Saccharomyces cerevisiae S288C: one gene and its partners. Changing the gene in region 1 together with any one later gene gives a genetic interaction. Each region holds a gene or a part of one and is shown in the gene's direction. Other genes may lie near its edges.

The links. A genetic interaction does not mean that the proteins touch.
Region 2: mutations in SLA1 (region 1) and CHS7 together harm fitness more than expected from each alone (negative genetic interaction), as found in Saccharomyces cerevisiae (6 studies listed by BioGRID, with this or other methods).
Region 3: mutations in SLA1 (region 1) and RVS167 are lethal when combined (synthetic lethality), as found in Saccharomyces cerevisiae (5 studies listed by BioGRID, with this or other methods).

Annotation. Positions count from the first base shown.
Region 1 is NC_001134.8:212,132-222,339, reverse strand, and holds SLA1 (cytoskeletal protein-binding protein SLA1), read left to right. Parts: upstream 1-5,973; coding exon 5,974-9,708; downstream 9,709-10,208. Other genes in the region: YBL005W-A (gag protein), read right to left, coding at 1-1,010; drug-responsive transcription factor PDR3, read right to left, coding at 1,940-4,870; LDB7 (Ldb7p), read left to right, coding at 5,211-5,753; HIR1 (Hir1p), read right to left, coding at 10,165-10,208. UniProt on the Saccharomyces cerevisiae protein: Component of the PAN1 actin cytoskeleton-regulatory complex required for the internalization of endosomes during actin-coupled endocytosis. The complex links the site of endocytosis to the cell membrane-associated actin cytoskeleton.
Region 2 is NC_001140.6:381,906-385,882, forward strand, and holds CHS7 (Chs7p), read left to right. Parts: upstream 1-1,632; coding exon 1,633-2,583; downstream 2,584-3,977. Other genes in the region: 60S ribosomal protein eL42 RPL42B, read right to left, coding at 85-401, 843-846; DSE2 (Dse2p), read left to right, coding at 3,605-3,977. UniProt on the Saccharomyces cerevisiae protein: Chaperone required for the export of the chitin synthase CHS3 from the endoplasmic reticulum.
Region 3 is NC_001136.10:1,248,202-1,253,028, forward strand, and holds RVS167 (amphiphysin), read left to right. Parts: upstream 1-1,984; coding exon 1,985-3,433; downstream 3,434-4,827. Other genes in the region: CIN10 (Cin10p), read right to left, coding at 1-1,620; GTPase-activating protein SAC7, read left to right, coding at 4,336-4,827. UniProt on the Saccharomyces cerevisiae protein: Component of a cytoskeletal structure that is required for the formation of endocytic vesicles at the plasma membrane level.

The DNA of each region.
Region 1 (10,208 bases):
GCAACTGTCATATGTATACATCGATGACGTGCGTACGGTAAAAATTTGTACTCGCCAGATAGACCTCTCATAATGAATTGGCATGCTACCTTGTTATTGATAGGAATGCCATTGTTGTTTAGTCTGTCAAGAATGTTTGTGACTTCTGCTTCAAATGCATCTGCAGGTGTACTTCCATTATAATGCAAAGTTGCTAGGGTCGTAATGTCATTTACCTCTTGAGTATCAGACTGCATTTTGTTAATGCTTTTGGAAAGAATTTTCATGATATCTGTATAATCAACAGATAAGATGTCTTTAACCCAGGGGGGTAAGAATTGAGATGGAGCAAATAGTTGAAAGGTGTGACATAAGAAGGTGAGTTCGTCATCAGTCATCTGACGTACGGCTTTTCTTGTTGCTGTCGGAATAATATCACCGAGATTCGAATTTTGTAAAAATTTGATGTATATTTTAACCCAATTTAGAAAGTCATTAGGTGAGGTTAAGATTGGCGGTGGTCTGACATGTTGATTAGTGGATGTCATATTAGACTTTGCTGAGGATGAATCAGGAAATGAATTACCTGACTCAGGTGACGGGGTGTTCAAATGTGTTCCAACATATTGTGGATATTGTGTAAACTGTGATTGTGCCCCAGGTGGAGCGTACATAGGTGACATTTGATAAGGTGGATACGGCATCAAGGATGGGTGCCCGTATACTGGCCAGCCAGAAATATTGGCTTGTTGGGTATTCATCATGCGCTGCTGTGGGTACGGCCCATTTTGTGGCAATGGTACTTGAGCAGCTTGAGGAGAGGCATGATGATGGTTCTCTGGAACAGCAGATGAGGGAGGTGTTGTTGGCTGTTGAGAATTAGCCTGAGTGGAAACCTTCTCACATTCTTCTGTTTTGGAAGCTGAAATGTCTAACGGATCTTGAGTTGTTTGGACTTCTTTAGAAGTAACCGAAGCACAGGCGCTACCATGAAAAATCGGGGAATGTTGAGATAATTGTTGGGATTCCATTGTTGATAAAGGCTATAATATTAGGTATACAGAATATACACTAGAAGTTCTCCTCAAGGATATAGGAATCCTCAAAATGGAATCTATATTTCTACATACTAATATTACGATTATTCCTCATTCCGTTTTATATGTTTCATTATCCTATTACATTATCAATCCTTGCACTTCAGCTTCCTCTAACTTCGATGACAGCTTCTCATAACTTATGTCATCATCTTAACACCGTATATGATAATATATTGATAATATAACTATTAGTTGATAGACGATAGTGGATTTTTATTCCAACAATTCCACTGTTGTTAGAGACTATAATATTAGATATACAGATAATACTAGAAGTCATACCCAAAGATATAGAAATCTACAAAAGGGAATCGGTGTTTCTACACAATATCATTTTATCGATGTTGAACTTCTAACATTTTCCTATATGCGCAATGTCTTTCCCTTATGAACACGCACAGGCCAAAAACTTACCAGAAATTCTTCTGTATTACAAAAAAAAAGAAATGAATTTATCAAAGTAACGCAACGGCAGCAGAATAGAGAAAGCGTAGTGACCGATGTCAGACGCGAAGGAGTCGCAGATTCTCAAACTAAGGAAAATCCAGCCTCTATGGGTGAATAGCTCATCCAATCGATCCAAGAAAAATTGTTGAGGCTATAATTACATATAATATCTACTGAACAGCTGCATTCCAGGACCTTTTTGAACAGCGCGCCCAAAATTAATGAAGAAATCGTTGATCTTATGTGAAGACCGAACAGAAAGGACAGACTAAAGTTTCGCCCAATTAGCTTACGAACATATAATGACGAGGACGCCACATTCCTCAGTATGAGTAGGGGGTCAATTAAATTCTTGAGTTATAAGTGTCCCATTTACTATGGTTATGCTCTGCTTCCCTATTTTCTTTGCGTTTTCATAAGAAGGGATATGAAGTATTGTCATTCCACAGAGTATGATATAAATCAGTCAGGTCACCACTGCTGACAAACTCCTCTAAAGTACCCAAGTTGTATATATTATTCTCATTAGCGCTTATTTGGCTAGGCGCAGAATGTTGTCTTTTTGTCTGTTGTAACGATCGATCTTGATGCCGCAGATTACATGGAACATTTTCTGATGCGTCTTGAGTGTACGATTCCTCTCCAGAGTTCAACAAAGACGATAACTTCAACGGTGAGTTTGCTGCTGAGGCAGAAGCATTGTTGTATGAAGGAGCAGTACTGTCATACAACTGAGAAATTTGGCTTGAATTTCCTTGGTCTGGAATATTACCAGTGGCCAATTTGTCTCTATACAAAAATTTATAGTCGCTTTCTAACATTTTTCTAATTATTAAATGAAAGCCTGATTTTTCAACGGATTTCAACATGTACCTGTAAATAAAAGAGCGGGTATCAAAAAACTCACGCAAAAGGTCACTTAGACCCGGTTCAACTTCTTTCAAACGTTCGATGAATTCGGCTCTATCAATTTGTTCGGCATAGCAGTATTTTAAAAATATGATTCTTATGGATATGGCAACCAAACTCGAACTTCTCGAAAACTCCCTGAAAGTTTGACAATCATAATCCTTCTCGTCCAAATTATTATTAAAAAAAGAAATAATGTTAGTTATTCTCTTAAAAACTTTCAAAGTGTTGATAACATCCTCTAAAGTGATGTGCGGGTCTTCCACATAAAATTTTGAAGCCATCACGAAAAATATCAGTTCATAAAAGTCCAAACATGCCCAAACAATAAAATCAGTATCAACCTGTATTAAGAATTGATTAATTTCCCTCCATTCTTGAAACATTTCATTCGCATATTTCATGCTTTGCTCAGTTATCACCTCTGGATCTTCAGATAGCCTAGCAATAAGATTGTTAACAGCACCCAAGATGGAGAACCATGTATTTTTATGGTAACTTACAAATTTAGCTGCTTCAATTAGATCGTTTTTTGGATATTCTGGATATTTGCAGTGAGCTACTTGAAAAACTCTTGAGGTGTGAAGCTTTATTTTGGCCAATTTTAACCTAAAAGATTCAATGTCCTCAAAAACTTTCTCCAATAACTTTTGTCTGATAATTGTGGGTTTAACGGATACTTCTAAAGACGTGAATTTCTCATTATAAAGAGTCTCTGAAAAAAAATCTCCAACAATTTGGGCTATCGCTAACTCACCATATTCAATAAGCCTGGACAATGACAAGTTTTTTAGCTTGGGCGATGACGGTGATAAAGAGGACGTACCAATTTTCGTTAAAAATTCTTTATGGTTAATGAATCCCATGTCCCTGAAATCCTTCGGCAAGAGACAATTCATTTGATGTTCATTTATTAAGGATAAATCACCAAGATCAGTTAAAAAACGCTTTTCCAGACTGTATATTTTCCACCATATTTTTCTTCTCCGTTCGGCAGTATTTTCGTCTATTCCAACATAATACTCCCAACGAGACAATCCCATCTTAGTGGAGCATGTAACCGCAACTTCTAGCATTTTTTCAAATCCAAAACGCTCATCAATTTCATTTTGGATTTCTAGCAATGACACTAAAATCTCTAGGTAATCTAAAGTGTTTATGTCCAACATGTGATATAGGGTAACATTGTAGTATGCGTAACAAAGAGTAGATAGAAGATATTCTGATGAGCAGAATGACGAGAATAAAACACTCTTTTCTTGATGGGGCAAGGAGAAAGCTTGGTTTAAAAATTCCGCAAAGCGCTTCCTATGTTGAGCATACATTTGAGTAACTATTCGAAACATCGAAAATGAATCATGTAAATTTTCTATCAATTGAGTAGTCGTAAACCCGGTAATCGATTGTATAAATGGCTGAGGTAGTTGATGAATAACAGAAATGACTAAATCGTTAGATAAAGGTGCTGGGGAAGTAGGCAAACTAGCAGATGCCGTCGTAGTAGGAGTTTGCTTTATTTTTTGAAGATAGTTCTCTAATGGATTAGAAATAGAGATGCAACCTTGGATCAAATGTTCATAACACAAATCAAACAATCTTAATATTAGATAAATAGTTTCCTTTGTATCTATTAACATCGATGAACCCGTGTTTTCGATATTTTTTTTAATTAAATATCCTATACCTCTTAGTGAAAAAGCCTGTATTGGAGAGAAAAGACCAAATACTTCATCTACTAGTGGAGTGGTGGCTAGAAATGAATCTGGACTTTGTGATTTAACCATTTGGTCTGTCCAAAAGGAGAACCTCGTCATGTGTATTTTATTTCTATACTTGTTGGTTAAAAGATACGTTTCTATCGATCTTTGTGGGCGAGGAGAGAAACTGGAAAGCTTGGGGTAGTTTATTTCGGGATTCCAACTGTTAATCAGGTTATTCAACTGCGACTTCGTTTTATCAATCAAGAGCTGAGTGTCATCACAAGGCGGCAGAGCGTACAAATTTGTCAGAATATTTTGATACGTAACCAGTTGATTTTGATATTTGGAATCATCTTTAAAGAGAATATTATTATCATTAGTAGGATTATTGGAAGTATCAGGAGCATGCGTCGCACTCGGAGAGACTGGAGTCTGTATCAGGTCGTTCATCAGTTTGAAGTAATATTGATTATCTAGCTTAATCGCAGTGTCCAGATGCTGTACATCTGCTGAAGCCTCTACATTGGCGTGGGAAGAGGGTGGAGCAACAGCTGTAGTAGGCAAAGACTGGGAACTATCCTCCTTCTGCGGTAAATGTTTTTTTAGGAATACACACGTACAATCGTAAGAAATGCAGTTGGTACATGGATATTTACCTGTGCATTTGATTTTCCTTTTTCTGCAATTGACACATGCTGTCGAAACTTTTGATCTAGTTGATTTCTTCACTTTCATTGCGGTCACGCAATAAGAAAAAATTAATAAAACTGCTGATGCAGTTGTCGCCTAAGACCTATGGTTGCTTTGGAAGGCTCCTGAAGACACAAACACAGGAAATACATAAATACATTAATGAGATTCTATAACAGTATCTACATATTTGCATTCTAAGACTCACTGTGATAGTTCATTTATTATTCCGCGGAAAGTCCGAGCGGCAGAGGAGGCAGCTCCGCGGAAACAAGGGCAGCGCCTGTTGTTCTGGAAGAAAATGAAAAGTGAAATGCAGTTGTCGTGGAAATAATGGCTTTACCTGAAAGCAGCAGAGCACGGTGTTAACAAGGAATAGCTGAGAATGAGTGGAAGTAATATGGGATACTATGACGTACTCGCAGGGCTTTCAGCGCTGGAAAAGTCATCCCAGGTAGTGTTCAGTGCGACTGAGCTTCAACAGCTTACGCAACAATCTCATGCTACCGACAAGGGCATAGAGGGCAGTGAGAATAGTAAAGCGAAGGTATCCAAGCCCAAAAGAGTAGCTGTACATGGTTACCTAGGCGGTAAAGTGTCGCTCGCCGATGCGGCACAGGTGGAGTATGAAGTAGGCCATTCACTGCTGGGCAGTTATGTGCCACGCCAGCAGTTGGAAGCCCTGTCAAGTGTCGACTTTTCGCACCATTTCCACCGCACATTAGAATGCAAAGCTGCTCTAGAGACACACGATGTTTTTCTTGCCGGCGCAGGACAATTGTCTCTACCCTTCCAATCACACATAGAGAGCCCCAGGAATAGCGAGGCTAAAAGGAAAAGAAAAGTGATAATATGCAAACGGTGTCAATCACGATTTATAGGTTCCCATAGGCGGTCTCAACTTAGAGAACATGCCTGCGTAGATTAAACCATGTAATTGATAGAGGTAGAATGTTGCTTCGTAGAAAGTGACTATACGATTCCTAAAAGGGGCTTCCTTCCACTCATGCGAAATCGAGATACATCAGACGAAAACAGAACGAATATTTAGCGCATATATACTATGTATATCTATTGCAATCCTAAAAGAAGGGATAGTGTAACATAGCCAAGGCGACAGAGTGTGTTATATACAAAAGAGCTAGAGTATGACTGTGTTTCTGGGCATCTATAGGGCCGTCTATGCCTATGAGCCGCAGACACCAGAAGAACTGGCCATCCAAGAAGACGATCTGTTGTACCTCTTACAGAAGTCAGACATTGACGATTGGTGGACAGTAAAGAAAAGAGTCATTGGTTCCGATAGCGAAGAACCGGTGGGTCTAGTGCCCTCCACTTACATTGAAGAAGCTCCTGTTTTGAAGAAGGTAAGAGCCATTTATGATTATGAACAGGTGCAAAATGCTGATGAAGAATTGACGTTTCATGAAAATGACGTTTTTGATGTATTCGATGATAAAGATGCTGATTGGCTGTTGGTTAAGTCTACCGTTTCCAATGAATTCGGCTTCATTCCAGGCAATTACGTCGAACCAGAGAATGGGTCCACTTCCAAGCAGGAACAGGCTCCCGCTGCCGCTGAAGCTCCTGCAGCTACTCCTGCAGCCGCTCCTGCTTCTGCTGCCGTACTACCCACCAACTTTTTACCACCTCCTCAACACAATGATAGAGCTCGTATGATGCAAAGTAAAGAAGACCAAGCTCCAGATGAGGATGAAGAGGGCCCTCCTCCTGCCATGCCTGCAAGACCAACGGCTACTACCGAAACTACTGATGCCACCGCTGCGGCTGTTCGATCTCGTACAAGACTATCATACAGCGATAACGATAATGACGATGAAGAGGATGATTACTATTACAACAGCAACAGCAACAACGTTGGAAATCACGAATACAATACAGAGTATCACTCTTGGAACGTTACCGAAATCGAGGGAAGGAAAAAGAAGAAGGCCAAGCTATCAATCGGTAACAACAAGATAAACTTCATACCCCAAAAGGGGACTCCTCATGAGTGGTCAATTGATAAATTGGTCTCTTATGATAACGAAAAGAAACACATGTTCTTGGAATTTGTTGATCCATATAGAAGCCTTGAATTACACACTGGTAATACCACCACATGTGAAGAGATCATGAACATTATTGGTGAATATAAAGGTGCTTCCCGTGATCCTGGGTTGAGAGAAGTCGAAATGGCTTCCAAATCCAAAAAGAGAGGTATTGTTCAATATGACTTCATGGCTGAATCACAGGACGAATTAACCATAAAATCAGGCGATAAAGTCTACATTTTAGATGATAAAAAATCTAAGGACTGGTGGATGTGCCAACTGGTTGATTCAGGGAAAAGCGGTCTCGTTCCTGCACAGTTTATTGAGCCTGTTCGTGACAAAAAACATACTGAATCTACAGCAAGCGGTATCATCAAGTCTATCAAGAAAAACTTCACCAAATCTCCATCTAGGTCGAGATCTAGATCAAGATCTAAATCCAATGCCAATGCCAGTTGGAAAGATGATGAACTACAAAACGATGTTGTAGGTAGTGCTGCCGGTAAAAGGTCAAGAAAAAGTTCATTGTCCTCTCACAAAAAAAACTCTTCGGCGACCAAAGATTTCCCCAATCCAAAAAAATCGCGTCTATGGGTTGATAGAAGTGGTACTTTCAAAGTGGATGCAGAATTCATTGGATGTGCTAAGGGGAAAATCCACTTGCACAAGGCTAATGGTGTCAAGATTGCTGTCGCCGCTGATAAACTATCCAATGAAGATTTAGCGTATGTGGAAAAAATTACTGGGTTCTCCTTAGAGAAATTTAAGGCGAATGATGGGTCTAGTTCCCGTGGCACTGATTCAAGAGACTCTGAAAGAGAAAGAAGAAGGAGATTGAAGGAGCAGGAGGAAAAAGAACGCGATAGGAGATTGAAAGAGCGTGAATTATACGAATTGAAAAAAGCCAGAGAACTCCTAGATGAAGAAAGATCAAGGTTGCAAGAAAAGGAATTGCCTCCAATAAAACCACCAAGACCAACCTCTACTACCTCCGTTCCAAATACGACGTCCGTACCACCAGCCGAAAGCAGCAATAACAACAACTCCAGTAACAAATATGATTGGTTCGAATTTTTCTTGAATTGCGGCGTTGATGTAAGCAATTGTCAAAGATATACAATAAATTTTGATAGAGAACAGCTTACTGAAGACATGATGCCTGACATCAATAACTCAATGTTAAGAACCTTGGGTCTGCGCGAAGGTGATATTGTTAGAGTAATGAAACATCTTGACAAGAAATTTGGAAGAGAAAATATTGCATCAATTCCTACAAATGCCACTGGAAATATGTTTTCACAACCTGATGGTTCATTGAACGTTGCTACAAGTCCGGAAACCTCACTGCCTCAGCAATTGTTGCCACAAACAACAAGTCCTGCTCAAACAGCTCCTTCCACATCAGCTGAGACAGATGATGCTTGGACTGTTAAACCGGCTTCTAAGTCTGAATCTAATTTACTCTCTAAGAAATCAGAATTTACTGGTTCCATGCAGGATTTATTAGACTTGCAACCTTTAGAACCTAAAAAGGCAGCTGCCTCGACACCTGAACCAAACCTAAAAGATTTGGAACCCGTGAAAACTGGCGGCACCACTGTTCCTGCTGCTCCGGTTTCATCTGCTCCGGTTTCATCTGCTCCCGCTCCATTGGATCCATTCAAAACCGGTGGCAACAATATCTTACCCTTATCTACTGGCTTTGTGATGATGCCAATGATTACTGGGGGCGATATGCTGCCTATGCAAAGAACCGGCGGCTTCGTTGTACCACAAACAACTTTTGGTATGCAATCGCAAGTTACTGGTGGTATCCTACCTGTTCAAAAGACAGGAAATGGGTTAATTCCTATCTCTAACACTGGCGGCGCAATGATGCCACAAACTACGTTCGGCGCAGCAGCTACCGTCTTACCTCTGCAAAAAACTGGAGGTGGCCTAATACCAATTGCCACCACAGGAGGTGCGCAATTCCCGCAAACTTCATTCAATGTTCAGGGGCAACAACAACTTCCAACAGGTTCAATATTACCTGTCCAAAAAACTGCTAATGGATTAATTTCAGCTAATACTGGTGTCTCAATGCCAACTGTACAAAGAACAGGCGGCACTATGATTCCACAAACATCATTTGGCGTTTCACAGCAATTAACAGGTGGTGCAATGATGACCCAACCTCAAAATACAGGGAGTGCCATGATGCCTCAAACATCCTTCAATGCTGTACCACAAATTACTGGAGGAGCAATGATGCCTCAAACGTCCTTCAATGCTTTACCACAAGTTACAGGGGGAGCAATGATGCCTTTGCAGAGAACTGGTGGTGCTTTGAATACATTTAATACTGGAGGCGCCATGATTCCCCAGACTTCGTTCAGCTCTCAAGCTCAAAACACTGGCGGGTTCCGGCCGCAATCCCAATTCGGTTTGACTTTACAAAAAACCGGAGGTATTGCGCCATTAAACCAGAACCAGTTCACTGGTGGAGCCATGAATACTTTAAGTACAGGGGGCGTTCTTCAACAACAGCAACCACAAACGATGAATACCTTCAATACTGGTGGTGTTATGCAAGAGCTCCAAATGATGACTACTTTCAATACTGGTGGTGCTATGCAACAACCACAGATGATGAACACATTCAACACCGATGGAATTATGCAACAACCACAGATGATGAACACTTTTAACACTGGGGGTGCTATGCAACAACCACAACAACAAGCATTACAGAACCAACCTACTGGATTTGGGTTTGGTAATGGACCTCAACAATCAAGGCAAGCCAACATATTCAATGCTACTGCATCAAATCCGTTTGGATTCTAGATTAATGTATTTTAAGATTTTATAGGATAATAACTAAAACAAGCTATATGAAATAGTTTCGTACAATCTGTGCTTATACTCGTGAAAATGGCAAATTTCTCTTTTTTTTTTTATAAGTAGTTATGTATGTATTTTACTAATTTTAATATAATCGTTCTCAGTCCCAATAATGTTTTATTGTCATATTATACTAAAGTTGAAATGGTGGAGTCGACCCTAAGAATTTATTTCTTCCAGACAGAGGAGGTGTGTAGTCACTTTGGTTCCACTAATAGACAACCGACATTAAAATACTTCTGATCTGTGCCTTCAGAAAGCTTCATCTGTAACCGCTTGTCTGTATGAGTCGTTTCAAATGGTAACCACTTAAACAATGCGAATACTACAATGATATTTATAAAATATAGACGTAATTATGAGGGAAAAAACTTGTCCAAAGGAAGGGGTATAAGCTTATTATTTATATAACGACCAACAACCCAGATCCTTAGTCCATTTAT
Region 2 (3,977 bases), on another chromosome or scaffold:
GAGTTAAGTATGCAAAATTTACAAAAAGTTAATGGTCAAAGTATAACTATAAAAATATAATAAAACAATAAACAATAACAACTCTCAGAATTGCAAAGCTTGACCCTTTTGCTTCTTTTCACCACCCAATTCGAAGTGCTTACATCTCTTCAAGGTTAATTGGGCTCTAGTCTTACATTTGACACATTCCAATCTCAAAACAACCTTCTTGGTAGTCTTAGCTTTCTTGTGGAAAACAGGCTTGGTTTGACCACCGAAACCAGATTGTTTACGGTCATAACGTCTCTTACCTTGAGCGAACAAGGAAGCCTTACCAGCTTTGTATTGAGTAACCTTGTGTTGAGTGTGCTTACGACAGGTCTTACCCTTACAGTAGGTCTTTCTGGTCTTTGGGACGTTAACTGGTTCAAAATGATATCACAGCAAATTTAGCATGATAGTTGATTGTTAGTAATTGATCTTAAAAAAAAAGTAATTTGACTGCACATGTAATTAGTTGTATCTTTTTTCTGTAATGGGGAAACGGCTAAATTCACAAATATCTAATGAGTATTACTAATGATATCCTCAATATATTTTCTAACCAGAGTTCTTATTAAAAGGGCCAATAAAAGTATCATTCAGGTGTTCAGTACTTTAGGAAATGATGAAAATATTTAACTAGCTCAAAAGTAAATGAAGTTTAATAACTATTAGTTTCTTGCTTGACATGGATTTGCCCTACGATTCAGGATATTTTAAAAAGTTCTTTAGCATTCTAGTAGTACCTGTGTACTAATTACACTCTCACGCCCTAATGGAGATAAATAACATGGTTTGTCTATTCCTAATCGTCCACATACCCATTATTACTGATTGTTTTTTTGCTTAATCTCCTTCAATTTACGTTAAAACAGTGAAAATACCACATCAATTAAGATATACATTGTCAACAATATGGATGTATCTCTGAGTTCATTTCGACGAATAATTTTACCTCTCTTGGTGGAAAGCCTTCCCTCCCCCTGGCGGAACCCATCATCCCGTCGAACAACTAAACCGTCAGCGTTGCCGCACCGACGGACGTCTCTCTAGAGGTCGTCTCTCCGTCTGAACATACGCACTGTTGGTACGATGCAGCGGCAGTCTGGCCGCATTTTTGACAGCGATCTTTTTTTGTATCAAGACTTCTTCCAATGTCAGGATTTATTTTCATGATGTATGGGTGTATCGGATGTTCGGATGTCACTGTCTTTTATTTTGAAGTTTGTGACAGAGAATGCTATGGAAAATAATATGTAGCAACATAGCCAACTAATTGCCATTGCATTAAATTTTGGCAGTACTATTTAAAATGCCATGTTTTATGTTGTTACAGTAAGTTATTGACATTCTTCTGGTGTTGCCCGCTTCGCTTTCTTAAAACGGTTAAATATTGAAAAAGTTTCACAAGACACGAAATCAAAAAGGATCCATTTTGGTATAAAAATAGCATATTGCATAACTTAACTAAAAAGATTAAAAAAAGTCAAAGCTACACTGGCATACTTTGAACTGTTTTTTCAAAGCTGTCTCCACGTGGAAAGTTTATTTCATCAAAACTATTATCAAAAATTGTGGTTTTGTTAATACAAAAGCTGATATATATATAATATGGCATTTAGTGATTTTGCTGCCATATGCTCAAAGACCCCGTTGCCATTATGTTCGGTAATAAAGTCTAAAACCCATCTAATACTTTCGAACTCAACAATTATACATGATTTTGATCCTTTAAATTTGAATGTCGGTGTACTGCCACGCTGTTATGCTCGGTCGATTGATCTTGCCAATACAGTCATCTTTGATGTCGGGAACGCATTCATAAATATTGGTGCTCTAGGTGTCATTTTAATCATACTTTATAACATAAGACAGAAGTATACTGCTATTGGCAGGTCTGAATATCTCTACTTTTTCCAACTAACATTGCTATTGATAATATTTACCTTGGTGGTAGACTGTGGTGTATCTCCCCCCGGCTCTGGGTCATATCCATACTTCGTGGCTATACAAATAGGACTGGCGGGTGCATGTTGCTGGGCCTTATTGATAATCGGGTTTTTAGGTTTCAATTTATGGGAAGATGGGACTACAAAGTCCATGCTGTTGGTCCGTGGAACGTCCATGCTAGGATTCATAGCCAATTTTTTAGCCTCTATTTTAACCTTCAAAGCATGGATCACCGACCATAAAGTAGCAACAATGAACGCTTCAGGGATGATTGTCGTCGTTTACATAATAAACGCCATTTTCTTATTCGTTTTCGTTATTTGTCAATTACTGGTATCCCTATTGGTAGTTCGAAACTTATGGGTCACAGGAGCTATCTTTTTGGGGCTATTTTTCTTTGTAGCAGGCCAGGTATTGGTTTATGCCTTCTCTACACAAATTTGTGAAGGGTTCAAGCACTACTTAGATGGCCTCTTTTTTGGAAGCATCTGTAATGTGTTCACATTAATGATGGTTTACAAGACTTGGGATATGACTACCGACGACGACTTGGAATTTGGTGTAAGTGTTAGCAAGGACGGTGACGTGGTGTATGATAATGGATTTATGTGAAATGCTTCTTTTTTCTATTACCATATATAGAAAATAGGTGTATACTATTAGTTTAATGTAATAAGCAGGACTATGACAAACCAAAGAGTGAAAGTAGCCGTTTCCACGTTTTAACGGCTTGTGTACACTTTGACAGTCAATCAGCGTAGTGACTTCTTTTATCAGCGGAAACAACCATATCCATAAAAGAAACGTGATGGTCGTTCCCGTAGTTTATTAAGTAAGATGACAAATTATCCTTCTTTAGTCAATTGAAAACAAAACTTCTTAATCTGTTTCCAATGTTTTAAAGTCGCTCATATGTTCATGACTACTTTTCCATGAGAGGGTTCTACGAAAAGCATCATCTTATTTTCGCAACGCTGCGGGTTTAGGCCTTTCCGCTGGTCTCTTTTCTGTTTACAGTTCTGCCCGAATGTAAACAAATACTTTGCGAAAAGTAAATAATGTATTCTGAAAAAAAAAAAGAGAACTGTGAACAATGCTTGATAGTTGTAGGAATATCTTAGAAGAAAGGGGATAGATTATCTGGAAAATCGTTTGAATAAAATAAGAACCAGTAATTCATTCGTTTAAATTGGAAAAACAAAACATAAAAGAACCAGCAATGTCTTGGTTGCCTGTTAATGTAAAAAGTTCTCCCAAAAGATGACAGGAAACTCGTTAACTCATACTCGGTATATAAGAGGAAACTTATCTAATGTTTCATTCATTCTTCCTCTTCTGCTTATTCGATGTCTATTGAAAAACTTCAAGTAAACCAGCAATATCGACTTCCATTAAGTAGACAGCGAGCCTGAAACAAAGAATATACTGTTTCAATTCCAACTAAAGCCACTCCCTCAAGCGTTATTATTTTTTGAATTATATTTTCGGGTTTTAAGCTAACTCTAGTCATTCCTTACTACATTTTATTGTAACTCTTCAGTAGAGCTAACCACAGTCATTCCTTAATATTTTTTAACACAGATCTCTTTCACAGAGTAGAAATAAAGCCACTCCTTTAACAAATTACAAAGAAATGAAATTTAATTTTTCTACAATTTTCAATATCTTATTCTTTTTATTCACCTTAATTGAAGCCAACAGCAATGGGGAAACAGTCAAACTTATTACTTCTGATGGTATTGTTTACAGTTATGCTGTCTACACAAAGACTCTTGCGCCGGCAAGGGTTGTGGTTAAAACGATTTCATATACTACTACAAGGGTATATCCGATTACTTTAGCTAATTCCGTCGTTTCTTCCACTACTGAAAAGATAACAGAGGTTTCAACGGTGTCAGCTTCAGAACAAGTTAGTGCTACTCAAACAAACTCATTGGTTTCTACTTCTACTGTTTCCACTATCAGTCCAACGATTTCATCTGGTTCTTCAACATCCTCTAGCTCTA
Region 3 (4,827 bases), on another chromosome or scaffold:
AACCCTTCCAACCTCTTCCAGTGACAAACCTTTGACTTCTGGATACCAAAAATATACGAAAAACCAGGCACAAACTGTGAAAAAAGCAAAAATGAGCATTGTATTTTCATCACCAATGGTGTTAATAGTGCTCAGATATGTCATTGAAACAAATGCATTGGTCAACCAATTTGTGCAGGCTATACATGATGCCCCAAATGATCTCCTGTTCAAGGGGAGAAATTCCACACAGGTCCATGGAACGCTGCCCATCGCAGAAGCATATGCTGCAACATAAATTACAACAGAAATTAAAAGTAAATTGACTTGGTCATGACCGAAACCTACACTGCAAAGAAGTAACCCAACAGTCATAATCAAAATTGTTCTCAAAAGAATGGCTCTTCTTCCCAAAGAGTCCATGGTGTACATGGCGAAAAAAGTGAATATGAAGTTCGTTGAGGCAATCAAAATTGGAGGCAGTAGAGGGTTTTTTATATTAAATTTGGAAAATATTATTGCCGCATAGTACATAAAAGCATTAAAGCCAGTGATTTGCTGGAAAAACATTAACATGCAACCTACTATTAACGCTCTTATTGTGCGTGGCTCCATTCTGTGTCTTTTCTTTTTGTTAGATGCCAGGGCACCGTTTGGAGCTGGGCCTCGCAACGCCGATAGATATGCTGATGAGGAGGACATTGTGTTGCTAGTTCTTTCTGTGTTCGAGGAAAGTCTTTTAATGTTAGGTGGGCTAAGAGTTCCTGAGGTTGAACTATCCATGTATCGAATAACCGATTGGGACTGTACTAGTAAAGGTTCACTTGCATCTTCGTATAGTCGTAACTTATCGAGTTCAATTATCAGCTGCTTAATTTTACTATTCACATGATATGTAGATGCAGTAGGATATAGCATTCTTAGAGAATCCCTGGTATATAGAATGTCTCCCTTGGAAATGGACCATCGTGGCGATTCAGGGATAAAATCCAGTATTGAAAGGAACAGAATAGCTGGAATAGCAGAAAGTGCGAACAAATATCTCCATGAATTATCAATCTCTTTCATAAGGGACGCAATCACATAGGAAACCAATTGACCTCCAGTGATGGCAATAATGTTCAATGTCAACATAAAACCCCTGATTCTGGAAGGTGAAATTTCACTCAGAAATAGAGGGACGCACTGGGCAGACACTCCAACAGCGATCCCAACCAGCAATCTCCCACAAATCAAAAACGTCAATGTTCTTGCTATAGCCATTCCAATTGCAGCTAGGATAAAAATTGAACAGCAGATTGCGAGAGTAATTCTTCTTCCATACCTATCTGCTAAAGGAAATGCCAGAATAGAGCCAAAAAATGATCCGACGCTTGTACTGGAAGTTATCAGCTCCTTCTGAACATCCGTTAAAACTACCAAAGATAGATCTTCGGGCTTTAAAGAAAGCAGAACACCTGATATAACACCAGTATCATAGCCGAATAAAAGCCCACCAATGGTAGCACCAACGAAGATTAACGACGTTTTGAACGTTAAAGCATATGGGAGTTGCTCGATGTCATTGGCAGTATTGGATGTTACCTGGGAGATAATGGAATACAGATCAGAATAAACGTCTTCACTTTCATCTGTAGACATACCTCTATCAAGTTTTGACTTTCCTGTCGCTTGCCTGTACGCTTTTGTTTTCTACTGAGAAAAGATACTTTTTGACCATGGACTATAAGTGCACGCTACAGTTGCACATATAAGGTTGTATATAGTTCAAGAAGTTCCTTTCGTATGGAAATTTTGTTATGTATACCTTCCAGTTGCTATGGTAGTCTACCTGACTAAATTATCAATCCGACCGATGTTCGGATGTTGCGATAATATTGGTACCGGAAAAAAAAAAGGAGAGGGCTTTGTAGTGTCGATGTTTAACAACCTGTTTTAAGGAATAAAGTAAAGTGAGGCTCACCTGGTCATTTAACACCAAGAATCAAGGAGCCAATAAGTGCACATGAGTTTTAAAGGGTTTACCAAGGCTGTTAGTAGGGCTCCTCAGTCCTTCCGTCAAAAGTTCAAGATGGGTGAGCAGACAGAGGATCCTGTTTACGAGGATGCAGAACGTCGTTTTCAAGAATTGGAGCAGGAGACAAAAAAATTAAGTGAGGAATCGAAGAGATACTCGACTGCGGTGAATGGAATGCTGACACACCAAATTGGATTTGCCAAATCCATGGAGGAAATTTTCAAACCTATCAGTGGTAAAATGAGTGACCCTAACGCTACCATACCAGAGGACAACCCACAAGGTATTGAAGCAAGTGAACAGTATAGGGCAATTGTCGCAGAATTACAGGAAACATTGAAACCGGATCTGGCTTTGGTGGAAGAAAAAATTGTTACGCCATGCCAGGAACTGTTGAAGATTATTACTTATATTCGTAAAATGGCCACCAAGAGAAATCACAAAAAATTAGATTTAGATAGACATCTAAACACTTATAACAAGCATGAAAAGAAGAAGGAACCAACCGCCAAAGACGAAGAAAGATTGTATAAAGCACAAGCTCAAGTGGAAGTGGCTCAACAAGAATATGATTACTATAACGACTTGCTAAAGACTCAATTACCAATACTGTTCAGTTTGGAAGCTGAATTTGTGAAACCATTATTTGTCTCATTTTATTTCATGCAATTGAACATTTTTTACACTTTGTATAATAGACTTCAAGACATGAAGATTCCATATTTTGATTTGAACAGTGACATTGTAGAGTCGTACATTGCCAAGAAAGGCAATGTGGAAGAACAAACGGACGCCTTGACTATTACACACTTTAAACTCGGTTACTCTAAGGCAAAATTGGAGATGACCAGAAGGAAGTATGGTGTAGCAACCGCCGAAGGCTCACCCGTCAGTGGCGCATCAAGCGGTGTCGGATATGGTGCTGGGTATGATCCAGCAACTGCCACTTCTCCAACCCCTACAGGATACGGTTATGGTGCCGCAGCACCAAGTTACGCCGCTCAACCTGCTGCCCAGTATGGTACTGCTGCCGCCGTTGGTACTGCTGCTGCTGTTGGTACTGCTGCTGGTGCTGCTGCTGGCGCTGTTCCGGGTACTTATCCACAGTATGCTGCTGCGCAATCTCCACCGCTCACTGGGCTAGGCTTCCAACAATCACCACAGCAGCAACAGGGACCACCACCGGCCTACTCTAATCCTCTAACATCACCTGTTGCGGGCACACCAGCCGCGGCCGTAGCGGCAGCTCCTGGCGTTGAAACTGTTACCGCATTGTATGACTACCAAGCTCAAGCTGCTGGTGATTTGTCTTTCCCTGCCGGCGCAGTTATAGAAATTGTCCAGCGTACTCCGGACGTGAACGAATGGTGGACAGGAAGATACAATGGCCAGCAAGGTGTGTTTCCTGGGAACTACGTGCAACTCAACAAGAACTAGAGGAGGCCCCTGCATCCCTCTGTATTCATTACCTTCTATTGTGAGATGTTACCATTACCTTTTTCTTTTATTGTAATGTTTCTTAATTTAAATACTATATAGGGTAATTCATCCTTCCACCAACAAAGTATCGTTTGAGTCTATCTATTACGGGCATGCGGCGAGCATATTACCCTACTGACAATATCCCAAAAGGGAAGGAGCGCGTTCCCAATAGGGCTGCCACCTTCCCAATATGGTACAAAGCCTACCATATGGGGAAATCAGTTTTCTCGCTCACCTCGCCTAGTCTTCCTAAAACGACGTTCCTCAGTCTCCTTTCTCTTTTATAAAACACCATCTCTGTCTTGTCGATGACACAGCCCAGTTGGGAAACCGGTGCTGACAAACAGGAAAAAAGCAAGACTAGTGGCCTGGCGCGGAAGAAACTGAGCTACATTGCACAACATCTTCAAGCAGGGTGTACGCATTCATTACTTTAATACTAAATTTAGAAGAAATCATCCTTTTTACTCGCGAAACTGTTAGGCTTGATCGGACGATCTCAGAAGAGGAAAAACAAATTGATAAAGTCTTCGTTAGGTTTCCTAGAATAGCAGGCCCGTTACAAAAAATTTTTTTACCCATTCCACTGGTTTTATTCACTAGTGACTTGAAAACTCCACATATTTTTGATCTCTTAAGCTTTCACGCATCACAAAGTTATCAGAACAAATTTTCTCCAGAAAGTTATATTGCAGTGTTCAAAAAGCCGTTCTCATTTCACAGCAATTTTTTTCTAAAGTAGAGGGGCAGAGAAATTAGCCTTCACAAGTTTGCTTTCGAGCTTCCAATTTGATTCCTGCTTTGGTCTTACTTTCATCCTCTCAATACCACTAAGATAAACTAAAAATATCTTTATAATGCCAAATAATACTCTTAAACAAGGCTCCAAAATTGAAAATGTTTCTCCCTCTAAAGGTCATGTCCCAAGTTTTTGGAAGCAGTTCATAAACAACCCTAAGAGTATGTCATCCGAAAATATTACAGTCCCTAGATCACCAACTTCTCTTTCAAGGAATGCTCAACCAACTACTTTAAAACGGCCTCCATTATCTTCAAGACCATATTCATATAATACCCCAACCAAAGATAGGAAATCCTTTTCCAAATCCGCGAAACAGAACAATAACAATAACAACGCTAATTCCGGAACATCGCCTCACGCAGAGTTCAAAAATTACAGAGATATGTTTTTATCTAATAGAAATGGTTTCACAGGTAGGGTTTTCGGTGTTACTTTAGCAGAATCGTTGAGCGTCGCCAGTGCAGAGGTCATTGTTCAAAGTGAGTTGGTGAGTTTTGGTCGGATACCCATCGTGGTAGCCAAGTGCGGCGCATACTTAAAAGCAAAT